2 linked regions of the Elephas maximus indicus genome follow. The protein of the gene in region 1 interacts with the protein of each later gene in a pairwise test. Links are inferred from orthologs where the notes say so. Each region holds a gene or a part of one and is shown in the gene's direction. Other genes may lie near its edges.

What was found. The genes of interacting proteins can lie anywhere in the genome.
Region 2: the proteins of TRIM32 (region 1) and UBE2V1 interact in binary tests that used the Homo sapiens proteins (3 or more experiments, as listed by UniProt). The link is inferred for Elephas maximus indicus from reciprocal best matches to the Homo sapiens genes TRIM32 and UBE2V1.

The regions. Positions count from the first base shown.
Region 1 is NC_064827.1:66,201,344-66,211,814, forward strand, and holds the start of TRIM32 (E3 ubiquitin-protein ligase TRIM32), read left to right. Parts: upstream 1-6,237; 5' UTR 6,238-6,293; intron 6,294-6,620; exon of another isoform or gene 6,621-10,471. UniProt on the Homo sapiens protein: E3 ubiquitin ligase that plays a role in various biological processes including neural stem cell differentiation, innate immunity, inflammatory resonse and autophagy.
Region 2 is NC_064843.1:19,546,860-19,557,853, forward strand, and holds the start of UBE2V1 (ubiquitin-conjugating enzyme E2 variant 1), read left to right. Parts: upstream 1-6,188; 5' UTR 6,189-9,373; coding exon 9,374-9,497; intron 9,498-10,994. UniProt on the Homo sapiens protein: Has no ubiquitin ligase activity on its own. The UBE2V1-UBE2N heterodimer catalyzes the synthesis of non-canonical poly-ubiquitin chains that are linked through Lys-63.

The DNA.
Region 1 (10,471 bases):
ATGAGAAGAATATGTGGGGTAGAGGTGGAAGAGGGCAAGGGAAAGCAGATCATCCCTTTGTCTACAGCAGCCTTGTCATTGTTGTCATCATGTGCCTTTGAGGTGATTCTGACTCATAGTGGCAAATCTACTTGACAGAGTAGAACTGCCCCATAGGGTTTCCTAGGCTGTCATCTTTACAGGAGCAGGCCACCAGATATCTTCTCCCAGAGCAGCTGGTGGGTTCCGACAGCCGACTTTTTGGTTAGCAGCTAAGCACTTTACCTGTTGCACCAGCAGGGCTCCTTTTAGCCCACCTTAGGGGACACAAATGCCTATTAATTGGTGAGTAATAGTAAAAATATTATAGTAGCCACCAATAAAGAGAAAAGTTGGCTGAAACCCTGGAAGCAAGAGACTCAGGAAATCTGGTTTGGGACTGAAAAAGGATGTGGGATTTAGCAGGAATAAGGCTCATGGGAAATTTCCCATTGGCCCTCATTTAGCATTGAATTGAGTTGATGTTGTCGACACTACATGGAGAGTGTTCTCTGGGCAAGCCTTCAATGCTACTGACACTTATTAAGCACATACTTAGCCAGTGTTTGATTACTGCTGACCTTTGACCATCCACACTAGTTCACACCACCACAAATTGGATAAAGGTAATTGCACACAAATGTATAAGATGGTAAAATAAAATAAAGCTTCCATTTCTGAGTCAGCTGTTTTAATATCAACTCAAGAAAATATACCCCCACCCCGCCCCCCCAAAAAAAATCCCGCCCAAGGACATTTATGCAGTTTTATTTGTGATGGTTACATGTTCAAAGATGGGCTTGTCAACTTGATTCATTTGGATGTAGCCAGTTTAATACTATGAAGACCAGAGAAATATGATTTGAAACATTCTCCTGTATTATGTAAATAAAATATCGAACTTTATATGCATTAGAAAAACATTTGTTAAATACCTAGTATGATTGTAAGTATGGATGAAGAGATTAAAGGAGGACTTTGTAAAATAGAAGTGGTTATGTTAAGGTGAATTAGACCATTGTGATCCACAGGGCCTTCATTAACTGATTTTCAGAAGTAGATTACCAGGCCTTTCTTCCTGGTCAGTCTTAGTCTGGAAGCTCTGTTGAAACCTGTTCAGCATTTATATATCTGCTAGCAGGTGGATAAAGATGGCTCTTTTTAAGTATACTTTGATTCTGTAAAGTTAAATTGAATTCAAATATCTATTTAGCACCTATCATGTACCATGCATAGGCTAGACAGGGAAACATACATGAATTGTGTAAGGCATATGGAGATCAAGGTCAGAGTTTCAACAGAAAGTAGAACCAATTAGACAGTTAGATAGATAATAAGAAAGGCAGAGAAGCACTGAAAGAGGGGAAAAGGTACAGAGGGAGAGAAGAAGGGAGGGAAAGATGGAGGAAAGACAAAAGAGGAAAGGAAAGAAGGATGGAAAAAAGGAAGAAATGAAGAAAGTAAGGTGGGAGAGATGGAGGAAGAAAGAGAGGAAGGGACAAAAGGAAAAAGATAGGGAGGGAGGGAGGAAAAAGTAAGGGAGGAAGGAAAGGAAAAAGAGAACAGGGGAGCTAGGCAGACAGGTAAGTAGGCAGCCAGCCACTAAGATGGTCCCCAGTGATTCCCTCTTTCTGGTATTTACTAGCCTGTATAATCCTCTCCCCTTGAGCAACTTGCTTCTAGCCAATAGAATAGAGATTGAGGACATGTCACTTCTGTGGTTAGATTATAAAAAATCATGACTTCTGTCTTGCTAAGAGGTTCTCTTGTGCTGTCTTTGATGAAGCAAGCTGTCACATAGAGGCCCATGGGGCAAGAAACTGAGGGTAGCCTCTAGCCAACAGGCAGCAAGGAAGCGAGGCTCTCAGTTCAACAACCCTGAATTCAGCCAACAACCACGTAAGTGAGCTTGGACGTGGATCCTTCCCCAGTTGAGCTTTCAGATGAGACTCCAGCCCTGGCCAACAACTTGATTGCAGCCTTATGAGAGGCCATGATGCCGAGGACCCAGCTAAGCTGCACTTGAAGTCCTGACTTACAGAAACTGTAATATAATAAATGTGTGTTGTTTTAAGCTACAAACTTGTAATTTGTTATGGAGTAATAGATAAGTAATACAGAGAGACAGATATAATTTTATATTACTTCATGGGAGTGCTAGTAATTATAAACCTCTAGACTCAGACAAACTCTGTTAGGATGTACTAGTGTTTTAACTCCTTATATTTTCTTCCCTACGTTATATAATCAAGAAATGTCTCTTCCCCTTCAAACTTCAGTTGCTAAATGGTAAAAAAAAAAAAAAGGGGGGGGGGAGAATATTTTGTTGAGAAAAGTCATAGTGATAATGATAATGACAGTAAAAAATGATAACTGTAACTAACACTCAGCACTTATTCTTTATCAGGCAGCGTTCTAAGTCCTTTGGATCTATTAAACCATCTAACATTCCCAACATTCCTACCTGGTTGTTGTTGTTGGCTGTCAGCCATTAAGTTGGCCCCCAACTCGTGGTGACCTTGTGCATAATAAAATTAAACACCGCTCAGTCCTGTGCAATCCCTATGTTCAGTTGTGGATCGGACTGTTGTGATCCATTCAATTCTCAATGGCTGATTTTTGGAAGTAGATCTCCCCAGGCCCTTCTTCCTAGTCCATCTTAGTCTGGAAGCTCTGACAAAATCTGTTCAGCATCATAGCAACACCCAAGCCTCCACTGGCTAACTGGTGATGGCTCTGCACGAGGTGCATTGGCCAGGAATTGAACCTAGGTCTCCCGCATGGAAGGTGAGAATTCTACCACGGAACCACTTTTATACTACTACTATTATTTTATACTACTACAACTACTATTATACCTCTTTTGCAGAGGAGAAAAGTTAAGTAAATAGAGACTGAATAACTTGTCCAAGGTTACACGTTTGTTAGTTACAAAAAGTTACCAAGCATTACTTCAAATCACCTTCTCCTCTATTCCCTAACAAACTTCGCAGGTGAGTGTAGCTGAAATTCTAACCTAGATCTGTCTGACTCCAAACCCCTTGCTCTTCTCACTACAGAATGATGTATTTAATAAGTAAATGTATTTATCATAATAATAAATGCAATATAACGAACACTTCTACATGTTAAGCAAAGAGCTAAGCTTTTTACATCCAATATCTCATTTCGCTCCTGATAATCATCTGAGTTAGTTATTGTTATCCCCGTTTTGAAGAGAATAAAAAAGGCATTAAGCTAAGAACCTCCTTTGTAAGTGAAGAAAACAATACTTAACTCATAGAATGGTTTAAATGTTGAGTCAGAGTATGTTACGTTAAAGTGCTGAATAAAGAATATTTAAAGTGCTCCACAAAGAATATTTTTTAAATGTATCCATGTCTAAGGAATGCTAATATTGTGCCAGGTTGTGCAAACCCACAGGACAAAAAATGAGTGATATCCCCGGAGTGTTTATTTTACTGTGAGATCATGTGGTAATTAATTGAACTTGTAAGTAATTTAAACATTAAAAAAAAACACCATCAAGCAAACACTGTTTTTTTGTTTGTTTTTTAAGGGAAAAGAGAGGTGTTTTGTTTTTGTTTTAAATGGCATGCCTGAGCTACATCCCCAGACTGTTAGGAGTACTGTGAGCTCTCTTCTGTGATTGGGGAAACATCAGTATATATATATGAACAGTTTTTAACTGAAACTCTGGGCTGATAACTGTGGTTTTCAGCAACCAGGCTGCTAAATCTCCCTTCCACCACCACCTACTTGAGAAGGGGATATAACTCAGGTCTCAGGGCAGGAAAAAATGATTTGACAGCAACCCTCCCATATCCCCCACCTGCAATACAGGGGTTGGGAGAAATACTGCAGGCCCCATTCAGAGGGGCTCCCTGCCCATTCTATGGAGCAGGCCACACTGAGTCTCCAACATGGCAGAAACCTAGAAGCCCAGCCCACTGCCATCGAGTAGATTCCAACTCATAATCCCTGCTCTTTTCCGACGCTTCTGCTCAGAACAGCTCATCCCAGAGCCCTTGCCTTGGCAGGCTCACAGTCTGTGGTCAAAATGACAGCAAAGATTTGCCCTTTATTCTGTTTTTCCAAGTACTATGAATTCTTTCGCTCTTACACCAAATCTTACTTAATAAAATAGGAAGATAGCTGGTGTCATAATATGTGGGCATAGTCTTTCAGTGACTGTATGGGGCATATCATGAGCCTGATGAGCCTGGGTTTATAGCCCGGCTCTACCACTTCCTAGGTAATGACTACAAGAAAACTAGTGAATCTTTCAGAGCCTTGGTTGCCTCTTCTGTAAGCTGGTGCTACTGATAGCTACTGGAAAAGTTGTTGAGAAAACTAATTGCGACTTGTGACAATATATGTGAAATGCCTGGCATATTGCCTGTGCTCGAAAAACAGCAGCTCTTACCTGACTGACCCCCCCCCCCCCGCCCCAGGTCACACAGGACATGTGATTTGCCTAAGGTCACATTTCAGAATCTGACTCACTTAGTAACTCTTAGGTGCTGGGCTCTGTGCTAGCTGGTGCGACTACGAACAGGCATTGCCCTTCAGGGAGTTCACAGGTCTGGAGAAGATCACCTGTAAGTAGATAACTTAAGGCCAACCTTGTATATGCTGCATGAGAAGTCATCAACTTGAAACTCCTGCAGCTTGCTGAACATGCAATGAACACCTCAGAACTCCCAGGAGCCCAGGAAGGTGGGAGAAGCAAGCACCCTGGTCCCCTGGCCCTCTGAGGTTTTTGTCTGCACCCACCAGCTGCCAATTCTGAGCAAAACCTACCCTGGGCCCTGTAGTACCAGACTGGGCTCCCTCCTCAGTCCAGTCCTGAACTCAACCTATACTTGGCCTATCTGCTAAAACCCCAGATGGCAAGTTCATCACTGGGGCCTGAGCCTCAGAGCTCTATTGCAACCCGTGAGTCCAGAAACACCAGGCCTGTTCAGCACATGCCATGAAGTACACCAAGCCAGGCTCCTGTTGGCCTCAATATTCCAGAAGCTGAGGCTTTTCAAACCAGCAGTTCGGAGGATGTGAGAGCTGATCTTAATTTTTAAAAAAGCAGCTACCGTTAATTAAGTACAAACCATTATACTTCTATAATCTCAGTTAATCCGTATAGCAAACCTCATCTCCATTTAGAGATTAAAAACAAAAAAAGTTAAAAAGCGAAGTTTCTCAGAACTGAGTAAAATCTGGGCTCTGATACTAATAAGCATGTGGCCTTCTTATTCAACCATCTAGGCATCAGCTGCCTTTTCTCACTGGGTCATGGTAAAGAGTAAGTGAGTTATGTCTATGAAGTGCTCACCATACCTGCAGTCAGACATTAAATGCTCAAAGGATGTTCTACAATCCTTGCTGGTTGTTTTATCATTGTTCAGCATCACATAGCTCAATGGGATTTTAAACCCAAGCTCATCCTACTTCAAAACTATATAGTATTATCCATAACTTTATAGTATGGTCATCTGCAGGGGCAGGTAGCTGGACTCAAACAATCTAACTGGCTGCAGATCTTGGTCAAGCAATAGGTCAGACTGCCTCCCACCTGTGAGGGGTCTACCCTTCAGTCTGCAGGGTCAGGAGCTGTAGTGTGTGTCTCCGCATCTACCTCTGCTATCAGCCTCCCTTCTGAGTAGGTGAAAAACTCCTTCACAATAGAAAACTGTTTACAGATAAGCTTGTCTCTAATAAGCAGTGTGTCATAGAAATAGGGAAACCAGGCACTGCCCTTCTAAGAAATCCAGGTTCTGTGCCTGCCCCAGAATGAAAGTTTTATTCTTGCCTTGACCCTTTTCTCAGACTGGGACGCTGAGGTTCAGAGAGGCTTTTCTCTGAGTTGCCCAGGCTCAAAGGAGAACTACTCCTGGTGATCGCCTTTTAATGAAAGGGTTAAGATATTGGGATTTGGAGTCAGTCACGCGCCTGCAGGTTTGGCTCCTGACTCGTCGAGTGGATATGGGCAGGACCCATATGCCCTTGGGCCTCAGTTTCTTAATTTACACAATGGAGACAGAAAACTGGATTAAGCATGGTTTACAGCCCCACTTCTTGCTCTCACCTGGCCCTAGAGCCCCGAGCTAGGGCTAGCCCGACTACAAGCCCCGGCATGCCTCGGGAGGGCGGAGCCCAGTGAAGGACAGGCGGTTTTGCCAATCGGCGCCGGTCAAGGAGCGCGCGGCGGCGCGTGCGCAGAGGGCGGGGGCGGGTGGGCTGGCGGCGGTGGACGCGTCGGAGCTGCGGGAGGTCAGGTAGGGGGCGGGCAGGAGGGTCGGGGACAAGAGACCCTGGCCCGAGTCGCGGACAACGGCTGAGCGGCGGGGAGGGGGGCTGTGCTGGCGTGTAGAGGCTGGGCCCGCGCCCGACTAGCAGGGTCTGGGGATCGGATCTGAGGAGTAGCTCTGGGGTGGGGGTGGGGGTGGGGCAGTGAGGGGCAGGCTCCGGAGGGATTCGATGTGGCTGAAGATCTCAGGGGAGATGCAGCGCTTGGGGCGGAGGCGAGGGTGGGGTGGGGTGCGAAGACTTGCTGTGCAACATCTCAGGAGGTATGAGGTAATACGGGGGCCCGGAGGAGACGGGGTGCAGCATCTGGTAGGTTCGGGGAATCTAAGGGCCTTGGAAGGGTTTGGGGGTGCAGGATTTCGGAAATAAGAGGGAATCGGGGTCCCTGATGAGATTTAGGGTGCAACATCTCAGGAGATTCGAGGAAATCTCGGGACGCCAGGCATTTGTTTGGGCAGGGCAAGATCTGAGATCAAAAGGAGCAGGGTCTGAGGCGATCCTAATTGCTAAAGAGGGAGGGTTTTCCTGAGTAGGATCTGGGAAAAATTGAAGTGGGGAGTTCTTGGGGGAATCAGAGGGAAGCAACATCTTGTTAGAAAAAAGAAGAGACCTGGCTAAGATTTGAAAGCAACACATGACATGGGATGGGTGAAAGGAGAAGGAGCAAGGTTTGAGGATGGCACAGTGCCTGGTAGAATACAGAGAATGGAGGATAAGATCAAGAGAGAGCAGAAATCTGAGGTGTGGGATCAGGGTGTTTGGAAGGAGTTGGGGTACAGGGCTGAAGGCTTCAGAGATTTGGAAACGGATTAAGGGGTCTTTATCAAAGGAATTTGGGATGCATGGGTGAAGAATTGGCGAAGGTTGCAATGTAGAGCCCAAAAGGTTAGACTCTTGTATTGTGAGATGGTTTGGAACACAATTTGGAGAGGATTGAACAGGTTGCAGAATTAAAGGACTCTGAATAGGTCTGTGGGTTGGCGACTTGGGCTGCTAAAAGAATTTTCTTGAAATCTCTACATGGGAAGCAAAAGGAGTTTGGGGACCCAAGAACCTAGAAGTAATATGGAAGTGTATATATGAGTATGAGTTCAGGGGTTCAGGAATGAAGTTATAGATCATCAGAGATCAGGACTCCTGAAGAAGCATGACTTCCCCTCAGAGGGGCAGAATCTCCTTCACTTTTCCAGCAAATATCCCTTGTCATGAGGCTGGCATGGTACACCACTAACTCCACTCTGACCCTGGGCCAGCTGAAAGTGGTAGACTTTGGGGAGAAGATATTGGTGAAAGGGAGGATAAAGCAGAAAACTGTTCAAGGCCATCCTTCTAGGTCCTGTCTTCCCTACCCCTACCTCTGCACCATGGAGGTGCTAGCAGATAGTGTGTGAGATGTCCAGGGAAATGAGTGAAACATTATCTCAGGCCTTATTTTCCTCATCAGCTAAATAAAGTGGATTGAATTAGATCATATTATTAAAAAAGAAATTGTTGCTGTCGAGTCGATTTCAACTCATAGTGACCCCGTATATAAAAAATAATAATAATAATTAGGACCCATTTAAAAACCAAAGAGTCAGTGGCTTTGTGAATGAGGTGTTTGTTTTGGCTGGGAGAAGGGCAAGAAAAAGGGAGCTCAGGGTTCAGCATTTAATCCTTTGCAAGTCTCTAGAGCAGTGGTTCTTAACTATGGGTGATTTTGTCCAGCAGGGGACAGTTGGCAATGTCTGGAGATGTTTTTTGGCTGTCAGAATAGGGGTTTGGGGTACCGCTGGCACCCAGGGGGAAGAGGCCAGGGATGCTGCTAAACTTCTTACAATGCCCAGGAAAGCCCCCAGAACAAAGGATTATCCAGCTGAAAATGTCAATAGTGCCAAAGTTAAGAAACCCTACTGTAGAGTCATATCTGAGGTTCTAATGCTGGCTCTGTTTCTTCTGATTTAGTAATCTTGAGTGAGTTATTTAATCTCTTTGCCTTGGCTCTTCATTTGTAAAATGGGGTTCTTAACAGGACCTACATCATAGAATTATTGTGTGAATTCAGTGAAGTGAGTCAGGGTGCCCCGTGTGTGGCATATAGCAAATATACAATAAATTTGGCAATTTTTAGTTTTTATATCCACTTTTCCAGTTTTCACAACAGTCTTATTAAGTGTCTCTATTATATCCAGTTTTACACATGAGGGAACTAAAGCTTAGAAAAGGGAAGCTACTTGCCCAAAGTTTCATAGCTAGCAGTGAAGTCAGAGCTAGGCTCATATCCAGATCTCTGTAGCTGTATATTCTCTCTTTTCCTTGCTTCTTTTTTTTGTGGGGGCCTGTTTAGTCTTATTATCTCAGCCCATTCCCCTTCAAAGTAAAGGAGGATTGTCCAGTTGGTATCAGTGAATATCAAACAGAACCCTAGAAGGGGTATTCTATATGATTAGGTAGGGAGTAACCGTGGACTTTGTTCTTGGTTTGCTATTAGACCAGGACCAATGGGTGGATAAGGGGAGGAGCTTAGGTTAGCAAGCAGGATGAGGTGCATGGGACCAGAGGGTGAGGTATGGAGGCCCTTGGCTTAAAAAAAAATACAACCGCATAGCAGGGAAGGCAGGAAGCTGAAGGCCATCAAACCAAAGGAGAGTAATTACTGTTCTGAATGATCTCTTTTGGGCTTCTTTCCCCTGGGACAGAATAGCCACACTGGCTCTCTCAGCTCAAAGACTAAGCTACTTAAAGCATTGCTGAAGCCAGCACAGAAACAGCTGGATTGGATCTGAGGGCAAGAGACTCAGCTGGAATACCTCACCCTCCCCAAGGGAAATATTTAATGAGCATTGAATCGGCCTGGGAATCAGAGGCCTGAAGTCCAGTGTCCTTACTCTCCTGCTAATTTACTGTGTGACCTTGGACAAGGACTTGTCCTATCTGCCTCAATCTGTTACAAATAGCTACCATTTGTCACTTATGTGCTAAGTAAAAGATCCCTGGTGGCACAGTGGTTAAAGCACTTGGCTGCTAACTAAAAGGTCAGCAGTTTGAACCTATTAGCCACTCTGCAGGAGAAAGATGTGGCAACCTGCTTCCATAAAGCTTTATAGCCTTAGAAACCCTACAGGACAGTTCTACTCTGTCCTGTAGGGTGGCTATGAGCCAGAATTGACTCGATGGCAGTGGGATGTGCTAAGTGTGTGTACTCCACATGTGTTATCTCAGTTAATCCTGACAATGACCCTGCCAACAATCTAGTTGTTATGCCCCATTTTACAGATGAGAAAACTAATAGGTTAAATGACTCACCCAAAGCTACACAGCAAGTGACAAAGCTGGGATGACAGTCCAAGTCTAACTCCAGAGTTTTAATAGTTTTATTAGATAGGCTTTTCCAACTCTAAGAGCCCATGTATCCATATCTGGAGCCTATATGTCTAAACTTCTAGGTGGTAGCGAGAAGTTTACAGGACCCTTGAAGTGGATCATTGACTATGCACACCTGTGACACTCTCTCCATTATGTCTTCTAGTAGAACAATTAGATTTAAAAATCATCCCTAGGTGCCTTTACCAGCCTCTTAGCTGGACTCTTCCTAGAGGCATTGGCAGCCAAATCAGCCAGGGAATTCTATAACATATCTTTTGAGTCAGCATGGTTTTATGGCTTGGAGTCAACACTCCTGGATTTGAACCCCAGTTCTACTGCTTACCATGTTTGAAACCTTGGACAGATTCTCTGAGCCTCTGATTTATAAAACCCACCCACTGCCTTTGAGTCGATTCCGACTCATAGCGACCCTATAGGACAGAGTAGAACTGCCCGATAGAGTTTCCAAGGAGCACCTGGCGGATTCGAACTGCTGACCTTTCAGTTAGCAGCCATAGCACTTAACCACTATGCCACTAGGGTTTCCCTGATTTATAAAGAGGTATAATACTTGATAGAGCTTTTATGAGAATAAGAAATAATCTATGAAAGGTGCCTGGCACTCATGAATGGCACTTGTTTTATGAGAGGAAGGCAATGCTGGAAGGGAACTATGTTGCCATGCCGGATTTTAGTGACCCTAAGCAGCCTCTGTCAGTTACCCCAAGATTCTCATCCCCTTTTATACTTTACCTAAGATCTGCTTACAGAAAACAAAAAAACCAAACCCATTGCCGTTGAG
Region 2 (10,994 bases), on another chromosome or scaffold:
TTAAGAATAACAATCGAGAGGATGGCGCAGAACCGGGCAGTGTTTTGCTCTGTTGTGCACAGAGTCACTGTATGTCAGAACAGACTCGATGACACCTAACAACAGCAACAATAACAACAAGATGTCATCGGTTGTAAGATGCATCCTGATTTCAGAGATGTTTATAAAAATTTGCATCTTGGAATCACTGAAATACAACACATTGAATGAGACTGGGTAGCTTATTGTGAGTTTAAAAGGCATTTGAATTTCTTAATTCTGTTCATGTCCTTTGCTTATTCTTTGGAAGCAGGTTAAGAGCTTGGGGTTCAGATCCCAGCTCTACCACTTACAAGCTGCATGACTTTGGGCAAGTTACTTAACCTCTATGTGCCTCAGTTTCCTCGTCTGTAAAATGGAAATAATGATACTTACCTCATAGGATTGTTTCGAGGATCAAATAAATTAATATGTGCAAAACACTATGTGCCTAGACTATAGAAAATGCTCAATAAATGTTTGTCACTTTCTTTTGGGCTGTTCTTTTTTTAAGTTGCAAGAGCTCTTTATAAATTAAGGAAACTTATTCTTTTTCTCGTCCCCCCCCCCCCCATCCCTGGTTCTTATTCCTTTTTTTCTGGCCATCTGTTAAAAAAGTAACAGATGGAACAAAACTCAGATATTACAGAAATAAATTGTATAGGAAGAAGACAACGGAAAGGACTCAGATGTCCCTCAAGAGGGGAGTGAGTAAATGAATTGTACCACGACCCCCTACCCACACACTCCCAACTTTCTTCAGTAGTATATTTTCACAATGACAAGATCTAACTTCAAATAAAATATCTACTCATTTCTCAGAGAAAATCACACTTATGTTTAATGCTGTGGATCAGACACACCCCAGGCATACATGGCTCCATGAGTGTGCCATAAGGTATTACCAGCAAATGTGTCACACACCCTAACAACCACAGACCCCCTCCCAGGGATTTTACTCTTGGTCTTCTAGGTGCCCGTGACCTCTCCTGTCAACAGTTTGTCAGCTTTACTTTCTTTAGTTTGCATTTAAAAAGCCAGAGCATTCCATTGGGTTTTTTTTTCCTCCCTTAACTATAAATACAAAATATAAACATAAAATTATATGATGTTATCCATAACCTTGCAATCTTTGGATTAACATTGGCATCCTCTGGGGACTTGTTAGAAATGCAGAGTCTCAGCGACCTTCCTCTACACACACACATAATCAAAATCTGCATAAAAAAAATTGCATTTTAGTGATTGCTGTGCACAGAGTTTGGAAACCATTGCTGTAAAAAATAAGATACAAGTTTTATAAACTATATTGAAGATTATGTAGACTATAATACAAATAATCGCCCCAACGGCACTGGGTTTTTTTATAATACAAATATAGCGAATATATTTCTGTTTTGAACATACTTTTTCAAAGTACTCACGCCTTTCACATCCTAAAAAAACCCAGTGCCGTCGGGTTGATTCCAACTCATAGCGACCCTAGAGATTCCAGAACAGCCAGGTATTTTCCCACCTCGTTGAGAACAGACTTTTTGAATGAATACCTTGGAACAGTCCAGGCCTGTATGTCTCTCTGCACTGCCTCAATGTGCCAGCTTCCTGTATCTGTTAGGTATGCTTTTGGCTGAAGGTAACACCTACCTTTAAGAGCAGCTTAAGCAATAAAGACATTACCTGTCTAGGAAGCCAGTCCCAAAATTAATTCAGTAGTTTAACCACATCATCCATGACCTGGCTCTTGCCATCTTTCTGGGCTACAGTCTTCAGTGTGTATCTTTTTGGCCTCAGGCTTGTACCTCATGGTCTCAGTTTGGCTGCCACAGCTCCAAGCATCACAACTTTATATGGTAGGAAGGATGGAAGGGGACAAGAAGGAATTTCTCTCAGTCCTGGTGGTACAGCGGTTAAGAGTTCAAGCTGCTAACCAAAAGTTGAACCTGCCAGCGGCTCCTTGGAAACCCTATGGGTCAGTTCTACCCTCCCATATATGGCTACTAAGGGTCAAGGGTCGGAATGGTCTCTATGGCAACGGTTTTTGTTGTTTTTTTGTTTTGTTTTTGTATCTTCGGGAGGGAAATTTTCCAACCTCTGCTCTCTCCCCAATCCATTGGCCAGAACTGGGTCACAAGCATACCACTGGACCAATCACTGGCGAAAGGAGTGGCACTGCGGGAATTGGCTTGGACCAATCGTGACTCGTGCCTGGAGCGGGACCTGCCTCCTGAACAAAACCAGGGAGGGAGGGCAGGCATGTGGCGGTTAAGACTGGCAGTCAACGACCTCCACACCTCCACTCTGGACTCGCCGCCTCCACTTGCTGCCTGCCGCCCAATTCAGCCTCCTGATCCAGTCTCCTGAGGCAGCCAGGCTGTACTCTCTAAAAAACGCAAACCAGCTCATGTCCTGCCTGCAACCTCCCAGGTCCCACAGGTGGTGCCCCAGGGTTAAGAGAACTGAGTTCCATTCCTGATTTTACTCCTTCCTTGTTGTGTGACCCTGGGGAAGTCTTCCAACTCCTCCGAGCCTCAGTTTCCTTATCTGACAAATGGAAATGATAACAGGTACTTTGGGTCATGGAGGATTAAATAAGCCCTCTTCAAAATTCTTTAGTTCTATTAACCATTTTAATCCTCCCTACAATCCGATAAAACAAAACTCCGTTATCCTCATTACTAAATCTACCAGGCTAAATGCAAAACTCCGTTATCCTCATTACTTTTACCAGGCTAAATGCAGAGATGTGATGGGCCACACGCGCCGAGAAGCAATCCCATTCTGAGAACTGCTGAAGATGCTTGGGGTGGGGGGCGGAGCCTTGCCGAGTGAGCGTGAGCACATGGAGGACTACAACTCCCAATAGGCTTCGCGCCGCCGATGGACTACAATAACCAGCATGCTTCGGGGCGTCCCGCTTAACCTCTTCTTGCGAAGGCCTCAGCCTTTGGGAACAAGCTAGTAGGATTCCCTGCACAGGAATTCTCTCTTAATTTTGCTTGCGGGAAATCTACAAGAACCAAGGATTCTCCGCGAGTAGACCTTTATGATTATCGTGGATAAGTGGCTTGTGTTTTAATTCTCACTTCACCTGTTAGTGCTGAGTCTCAGTTTTCTCATCTCTAAAATGGGAATGTTCCTAGGAGTTGCCACATCGAGTTCTTGTGAGCAACAAAAGCGGCATAGTATAATGGCTTGGTAAATGCCAACTCTTCTAGTGGCCCCCCTCCCCCTCCCTACGTGAAAGCGTTTTATTTCAACATCAACCCAATGAGGTTGATACTATTATCCTCCATTTCGGATGGTAAAACTGAGTCCAGGAGAGGTTCAAGTCTCTTGCCTAATGTCACACAGGAAAGGGAGGGGCGAAGGACTCGAACTCTGGCAATTTCACTCCAGAGATGAGTCCACCTTAGAAGCCCAATGTTTCTGTTCCCTGCTGAAACTCTGGCGTCACTCAAAGTCTAGGGCAAGGGAGGCTTGAGTTACGTGATACATGGATGACCATTAAGTTGCATTGCGTGTGGCTAGTGCTGGGGAGGAGACTCATGTGGTGCTCTGAGCCAATTATAGCTGAATTTGACCTGGTTGGAGAAATCAGGAAGGCTTTTCTGAGGGAGGGATGCTGGATCTGAGAACTCAAGAGCGGAAATAGCACAGGCAAAGAGCCCTGAGGAAGGAGAAGACATGTTGTGTTCCAGAGACCTCCGAAAGGGCTAATGTAGCTGGAGAAGTCCAGCAAGACTCAGGTGTAGGCAGGGCCGGAGCTAGGGTAAGGCGAGGAGCCTAGGGTGCAAACTTTGAGGCACTCACTCTCGGGGTCATGCAAATGCAGGGTCAAGACCTGAGAGGGACGGCCTTCTTAAATATGGCACCCTAGCATCTTCACAATCACCTCATATGCATATGAAAGCTGGACAATGAATAAGGAAGACAGAACTCACTCCTTTGAATTTTGGTGTTGGCAAAGAATATTTAACATACCACGGACTTCCAAAAAAACGAACAAATCTGTCTTCGAGGAAATACAGCCAGAATGCTCCTTAGTAGCAAGGATGGGGAGACTAAGTCTCGTGTGCTTTGGACATGTTATCAGGATGGATCAATCCCTGGAGAATGACATCATGCTTGGTAAAGAGTCAGCAAAAAAGAAGACCCTCAGGTAGATGGATTGACATAGTGGCTGCGACAATGGGCTCAAGCATAACGATAGTGAGGATGGCACAGGACCAGCCAGTGTTTCATTCTGTTGTACATAGGGTCGCTATGTGTCGGAACCGACTTGATATCACCTAACAACAGCACGGTCTTTGCTGGCTACACCCTCGTCCCCTGGCCCTTGAGGGTAGGGTGGACGTCCATCCTCATTTTTCTGGGAGAGTCGGGGTTCCTGCTTGTGCCAATGAGATTATAATAGGCCCCATTTCATTCTGATGAGTGTCTTGGTTGAAAACTAATTTTATGGTCACTCAACTTGTAGTGTCTTTTATCCAGAGGGAATGGGGAGCCACTGAAAGCTTTAGCAGAACTCTTCTGCCATATGGAGAATGGACCATGAAGGCCTTGTCTCCAAGTGGGAGACAAGGGCAGCCTGCTCTGAATGGGAGAAATGGATGGAGTAGAGAGAGGCTCAGGAAACATTGCTGTCAGGACAAGGTGGCTGTGCTGGGCGAGGTTCTTCCAGCTTCCTTGCTCCTCGGTAGAGTCCTGGTCCTTGCTCCACCAGTGTTTAGCTGTGACCTTGAGCCAGTCCCTTCACCTCTCAGCCTGTTTGCACATCCATATAAGGGCTTCTGAAAAAGGAGGAGCCTCTGGGATTCAGTATTTATTTGCAAATATACGTCCCCAGGGCCTTTGCTGTCTCCTCTATCTCCTTATCATTCAAATCTCACTTGAAATGTGACTTCTTCAGGAGGCCCTCCCTGACCACTCCCTGCTCCCCTTCCCTGGTTTATCATAATTATGAAGAGCAGAAATGTTCTGTTTATTTACTTGCTGTCTCCTCTAACTAGAGCGTAATCCTCTTGAGAGCAGTGACCTGCTTCTTCAGGGATGTATGTCCATCCCCAAAGTCTAGCAAGGCGGCCACATAGTAGGTGCTTATTAATAGCGTTTGAATGGATAGGTAATTGAATGCTTTATCTGCCAGCTCAATGCCCCCAGAAAAGCATTTAGCTGCTTCTCTACAAGCCTCCTCTGCCGGGGAAACACCGACCCTGGAAGCAAATCTCACCTAGGTTCAAATTCTGACTCAACCACTTAACAGCTGAATAGATAAATCGTTTAACCTCTCTCAGCTTCATTTTTTACATCCACCCCCACCCGATATAGATGTAAGGATCCAAAGAGTTAGGAAAATGTTCGAAAACAAATAGGAATTAACTTTTTGTCTTAAGTCTGATCCCCCTTGGCCTTCTCACCAAGCACCTCAATACCTCCTTCGCACCATAGCCCGGAGGGATTTGAAGGTTCCCGAATCGTCGCCCAAGCAAATAACTCCTCTCTAAAAGCAAAAGCAAAGGGAAAAAAAATCTTCCCGGCTTAGGGCCGCACGGGTCCTACGAGCAGGCGTCAGTGGCGGCGTCTGCGCGTGCGCGCACGCCTGCGCATAAGGGCCAGGGGACGGGTTTGGGGGGTGAAGAAGGGGCCGGCCTTCGAGCGACAGCGACGCAAGATGGCAGCCACCACGGGCTCGGGTGAGCTGGGGTGCCGGGCCCGGCCGGCCGAGGGCGCGCGGGTTCGGGCCGGGACCGAGGACCCGCAAAGGTCCTCGCGGCCGGGCCAGGTTCTCTGCGCTGCCTCGGTCCGCCGGGCTTCGCGACGGCGAACGGGGAGGCCTGATGGGGAGGAGGAGCAGGCGGTGGCCGGAAGCACGGGCGGGGGCCTGAGGGGCCTGTGGGCGGCGCGGCCAGACCCAGAAGCTCCCCCGGGTGGCGTGAGGGGCCCGCTCGGAGGACTGCCGGTGCACTGCGGCGCTGCTCAGAGCCGGAGTGGGGATGACGGGCGAGCCCGGAGGGCACTGCTGAGGAAGCCGAGACTGGCGGCCTTTTTGGGGAGATCGAGGTGTTCCCTAGGGGACGAGGAGGCGCCCCAGGGCGGACGGAAGTCCACTACTGGGTGCGGGAGGTCCTGGTGAGGGGGAAGCCTTGGTATGTCTGTTTGGGGAGGACGTCAAAGAAGCCCCTCAGGATGGGTGGGAAGAGGGAACAGAATCCTGAGGGACTGACTGAGGGGATACCCTACTGGTTAGGGGGACGGCTCCAGCGTCAGCTTTGGGGATAGGATTAGCAGAGGAAATCTCCATGTTGAGTAGAAGAGGGAGCCTTGGGTTGGCCGCTTTTGGGGAGGATTAAGGGCATCGCCACAGGATGAACGAGAGGGGGAAACGGAGTCAGATTCCAGAGGAATCTGGTCCAGGCGACTGATACGAAATGGCCCCATCGTTACTAGACACCTATTTGAGGAGACAAATGGGTTCCTCCAAGTTAGAATTTAGGAGGTAAGCTCTGAGTTGGAGTTAGAAGCCTCCAACATCGGGTCGGGGAGAACAAGTGAGTTGGGAGCTCTGGGGTACCTGCTTGGGGGATTGTCACCTGAGGGGAGCCTCTCTGCAACGGGTGAGAATGGGAAAAGGTTAGGTTCCAGAGATGTTTCCTTTAGAGAAGAAAAACCTTTCCCTGTTTGGGTGAGGGAAGTATACCCTAGAAGTGTCTTTTGTGGAGACTGTGCGTCACTCTTTTCCACATCTTTGGATACTGGGGACAGATATGGGTTCAGCTTGGAAGTTCCCCCATTGGCTGGAGGTGGAAGTGGGGAGAGGAATAAATGAAATGGGAGCTCTGTGGTGGCTTTTTGGGGAAGGGAAGCTAAGCAAACCCCCACTTCTTCTGGAAGGACAGGAGAGAAATAAGGGCTACACTTTATGGGTGGAACAAAAGTGTTTCAGTCCCTAGAGAGGTCAAAGGAAGTAGCACTTATTTTGAGACTGGGTTTCCTGCTGTACTACTCTAAGATAAACCAGAGGATCAGGCCCCAAAGGGTCTGTTTCAGGGTTAACATGGGGTAAGGAGTGACTAGGGAAGATTCTCCAGAGGCAAGAGAGTCAGACTGTGAAAGTGCAGGCTTTGGGGGAGACTCAGTGACCCCCTTAGGGTGATGAGGCTGTACCCTGAGATGCCTGGTAGAGGAGTTGTCCAAGGAGATTCTCCCACATGGGGTGAGATTGGAAGGCCCCTGATAGAGGTGGCAAAGAGGGCCACAGGAGAGAAGGGAGTTAAAGGCCTGCAGCATGGTTACTGAAATCTTCAGGCTGTTCAAGGCACTAGCAGCAGTAGTATTGGGAAAGGGTTGGTCACCTAAGTGGAACAGTGTGGGGGAGTCCATCTTTCCATGATGTTGCTGTTCTCTCAAGCTCCTCTAGTATTCCAGGAAGCCATCCTTCTCTGATAGTTAGGGTGGAGAGTAGAAGGAATTGGATGGAGGGAATCTAACTGAAGTGACCCATCACAAGCTGCCCTTGACACTTAAAGCATTGGGGGGTCTTCGGGTCTCCCTGGAGGATAGAGGATACCGCACATCCTTTCCTAGCTTTTGGTTTCAGTTTGAACAGTGCTGAGTCAATTCATTGATCAAGACGCTAGCAACAGACACTCCCAGGAGAGGGAGGCTGGGTCAGGCTAGACAGCTGTGGATAACTTCTCATCAGAATAATGCCCCTGCCAGGTTGCTATGAACTGGGGGTACAGTGGTGCCTGTGGCAGCCAGCTAGTTATGGTGGTATCACAACCCAGCCCTGTTTGCAGTCACTCTGGAGTTTGGCTTCCTATTATCCGGTTTAACAGCTACTTAATTCTAACTTCTTGAGGCCCTGCCAGTTGAAGAGTGCTTCATGAATGCTGTGGCAGTCAGATGAAACAGTGTCAGCAGCTGTCTAGTGGAATATAAGAGTACTTGGTGTGGCTTAGGTAACATAGAACAGGCTTGGAGATGCCCTAAAATGGGCTTCCCATAACTCCTTTGTCTGTTTATTCAACAAATATTTACTGAGGGCCTGTTAGGTCCCATTGTGAGTAGTGAACAACAGGGGCATAGTCCCTGTCCTTGAGGAGGTTCCGTTCTAGTGGGGCAAGAAGGCCTTAGAAGAGAAAATAAGATGTTTCAGATAGCAGTAAGTGCTATGAAAGAAGTTGTGTTGTGTGATAGAGGGTGTCTAGAGAGGTGGTCAGGGAAGGCTTCTTTGAGAACATGTCGGCATTTGAACTGAGACAGTGATTGAAAGAGCCAACCTACAGAGTGTCACAGGCGGGGGAGGGGGAACAGTGAGTGCAAAGGCCCTGTGGTAAGAAGGAGCTTGACATGTTGAAAAAACAGACCAAAAAGCTGTAACATGCAAGGAAGGCTTGAAAAGGAGATGCATTGGAGAGAGTGAGGGAAAGCCATTGAACAGCACCCAGTACGAAGTAGATATTCAGTAAATATTTGTCGAATGAATGAATGAGAGTTTTAAAGAGCAGAGGAGTGACAGGATCTGAACTGTGCCCCTAGGCAGTTAAATGAGTACAGAGTCTTGAGAGTGGAAGCAGAGAGACCTGAGTAAAATGAGTACAGACACTGCTCCACTTTCTAACCCTCCGTATTTCAGGTGTGGTCAGGCCCTGAGACCTTCCTTAGTTGAGTTTAGAGTAAGCCTCTTGGTTAATCTGTGTTCCTGCTTGCCAGGAAACAGCTGTGAAGCCTTTGAGTTCCTGTAAGGGTTGAACTTAGTTTTCTGTGGTCACCGCTTCCAGCACTTGGCGGCAACACCTTCCCCCACCTCCTGTGGTTCTACAGTGTGTGATTTCTGCATAGATCCTAGAGGGTGGTACTGTGAAAAGCCCACCAGAAGCCCTCAGGATGCCCGTGCTGTCACAGGTGACTTCCTTCTGCCTTGTCCAGGATTGTAGAACCCCAAAAAGTGCCCCTTGGATGCCAGGACCTTCCTCTCACCCAGCATCCCTTGGACTTCCCTGACAGTTAATCAGAAACCAAGTGCCAGAAGGGTAAACCCTGGTTGGGCATGATTTTAAATTTGTGTACATCAGAGTGGCCTCATATATACATTCAACTTATGGGAATTTAACCCCATGAGCAATAGAGGTTAAGTAGTCTTCCATTCCATTCTAGGGTGTTCCCCAGTGACAGCTGGAGATGGGAGGTGAGAACCTGCAGTCCTTTAGCTGGTCTCAGTGCCCATGTGTTGTTTCACAATGTGAGCATCTTCTGTGCGATCGTAGTTAAGTGCCCTTTTTTTTTCTTTTAAACATCGTGGGCCCTACATTCAAGAGAAGTGCTTCAGCCAGAGAAATAGCAGTCTGCTCTAATGACGGAAGGAGTTTCTGGGTGGTGCAAATGGCTAAGCACTCAACTACTAGCTGAAAGAGTTGGAGGTTCAAATGCATCCAGAGGCACTCCAGAAGACAGGCCTGACCATCTGCTTCCAAAAGGTCACTGCATTGAAAGCCCTACGGGGCGGTTCTACACTGCACACATGGGGTTGCCACTCCGGCACAACTAACAACAACTTATGATGGAGGGGGATTGACTCTTTGGGCTAGTATAACCTAGTGCTCCTCTAAAGAGTTGCCAAGGTCAATTTTCCCCTTCTCTATCACTTTCAAACCACTCTCTTCCCACCACTGTGGTTTTTTTTCCTTTCCCCTCTCCTCCCCTCCCCTCATCTTTTCCTCTCTCCCGACTCCTCTCTCTCCTTTTCTTCCTCCCCCTCTGTTTTCCTCTCCCCTCTCCCCTCCCTTGTTCCCTACCCTCTTTCTCCTTCCCCTTCCGTTCTATCACCTTCACCTTCTCCCTCCCTTTCTTCCACCTGAATTTTAGTTCTACAATTTTGGTAAAAGTGGAATACAAAATGTAAAGTCAGAAATCCTGTTTAATTCTGAAAGTCCGCAGTGAAGTAAATATTTTAATACTATTTTCTGTATAGTGCTTTAGAGTTTTTCAAGTACTTTAACTTACCTGCATATCATCTCATCTAACTCTCCAGGACCTATTGAGCTAACCAGGCAAAGTATTGTCACCACAGTGTGACTGAGGGGAGAGCCAAAAGCTGAGAGAGATTGGTGGCTGGCTGAGGGAGTGGTGATGCTCAGAGGTTTTGACTCCAGTTCCCTCCCCAGCCTGCTACAGTACATTAGGAAGGAAAGGGAGAAGATGTGAGTTGCAGCATATGCTTGTCTTAGGTCTTGGAGCATTCACCCTGGGTGAGGAAAAGGACTAAAGAGACACACCTGCCACCCATTGCAGGAACCCTTTTTATGTTCCCTGACCACTCTGGACCTTTCTGGATAACACACGGGCCAACGAGAGTGAGGGCCATTTTTTAATGAAAACCTTGCTTATACCTTATACTGAACAACTCACACTCATTGGACTTGGGCCCCCACATGTCATGTCAGAGGAGGCCCTTGTCTTAGTTCTCCAGTGCTGCTATAGCAGAAATACCACAAGTGAGTGGCTCTAACAAACAAATTTATTTCCTCACAATTTAGGAGGCTAAAAGTCCAAATTCAGGGCAGCGACTCTAGGGGAAGGCTTTCTCTGTGGACTCTGGAGGAAGGTTCTTGTCCCTTTTGAGTTCTGCTCCTGGGTGATCTTCATGTTACTTGGCATCTCTCTAACCCCATCTCTGCTACTTTTTTTTGCTTGTTTAATCTCTTATATCTCATAAGAGATTGGTTTAAGACACAGCTTGCACTAATCCTGTCTCATTAATGTAAAAAGACAACCCATTCCTAAATGGGATTATAACCACTGGCATAGAGGTTAGGATTTACAACACATACTTTTGGGGAACACAGTTCAATCCGTAACAGTCCTCATCTTCATTTACATGTAAACCTTTCAGACTTCTTTTTCAGCCGCACTTAAGAGGACTTATGTACTATGTGCTAGACATATTAAATACATCGTCTCACTCTTCACAACAA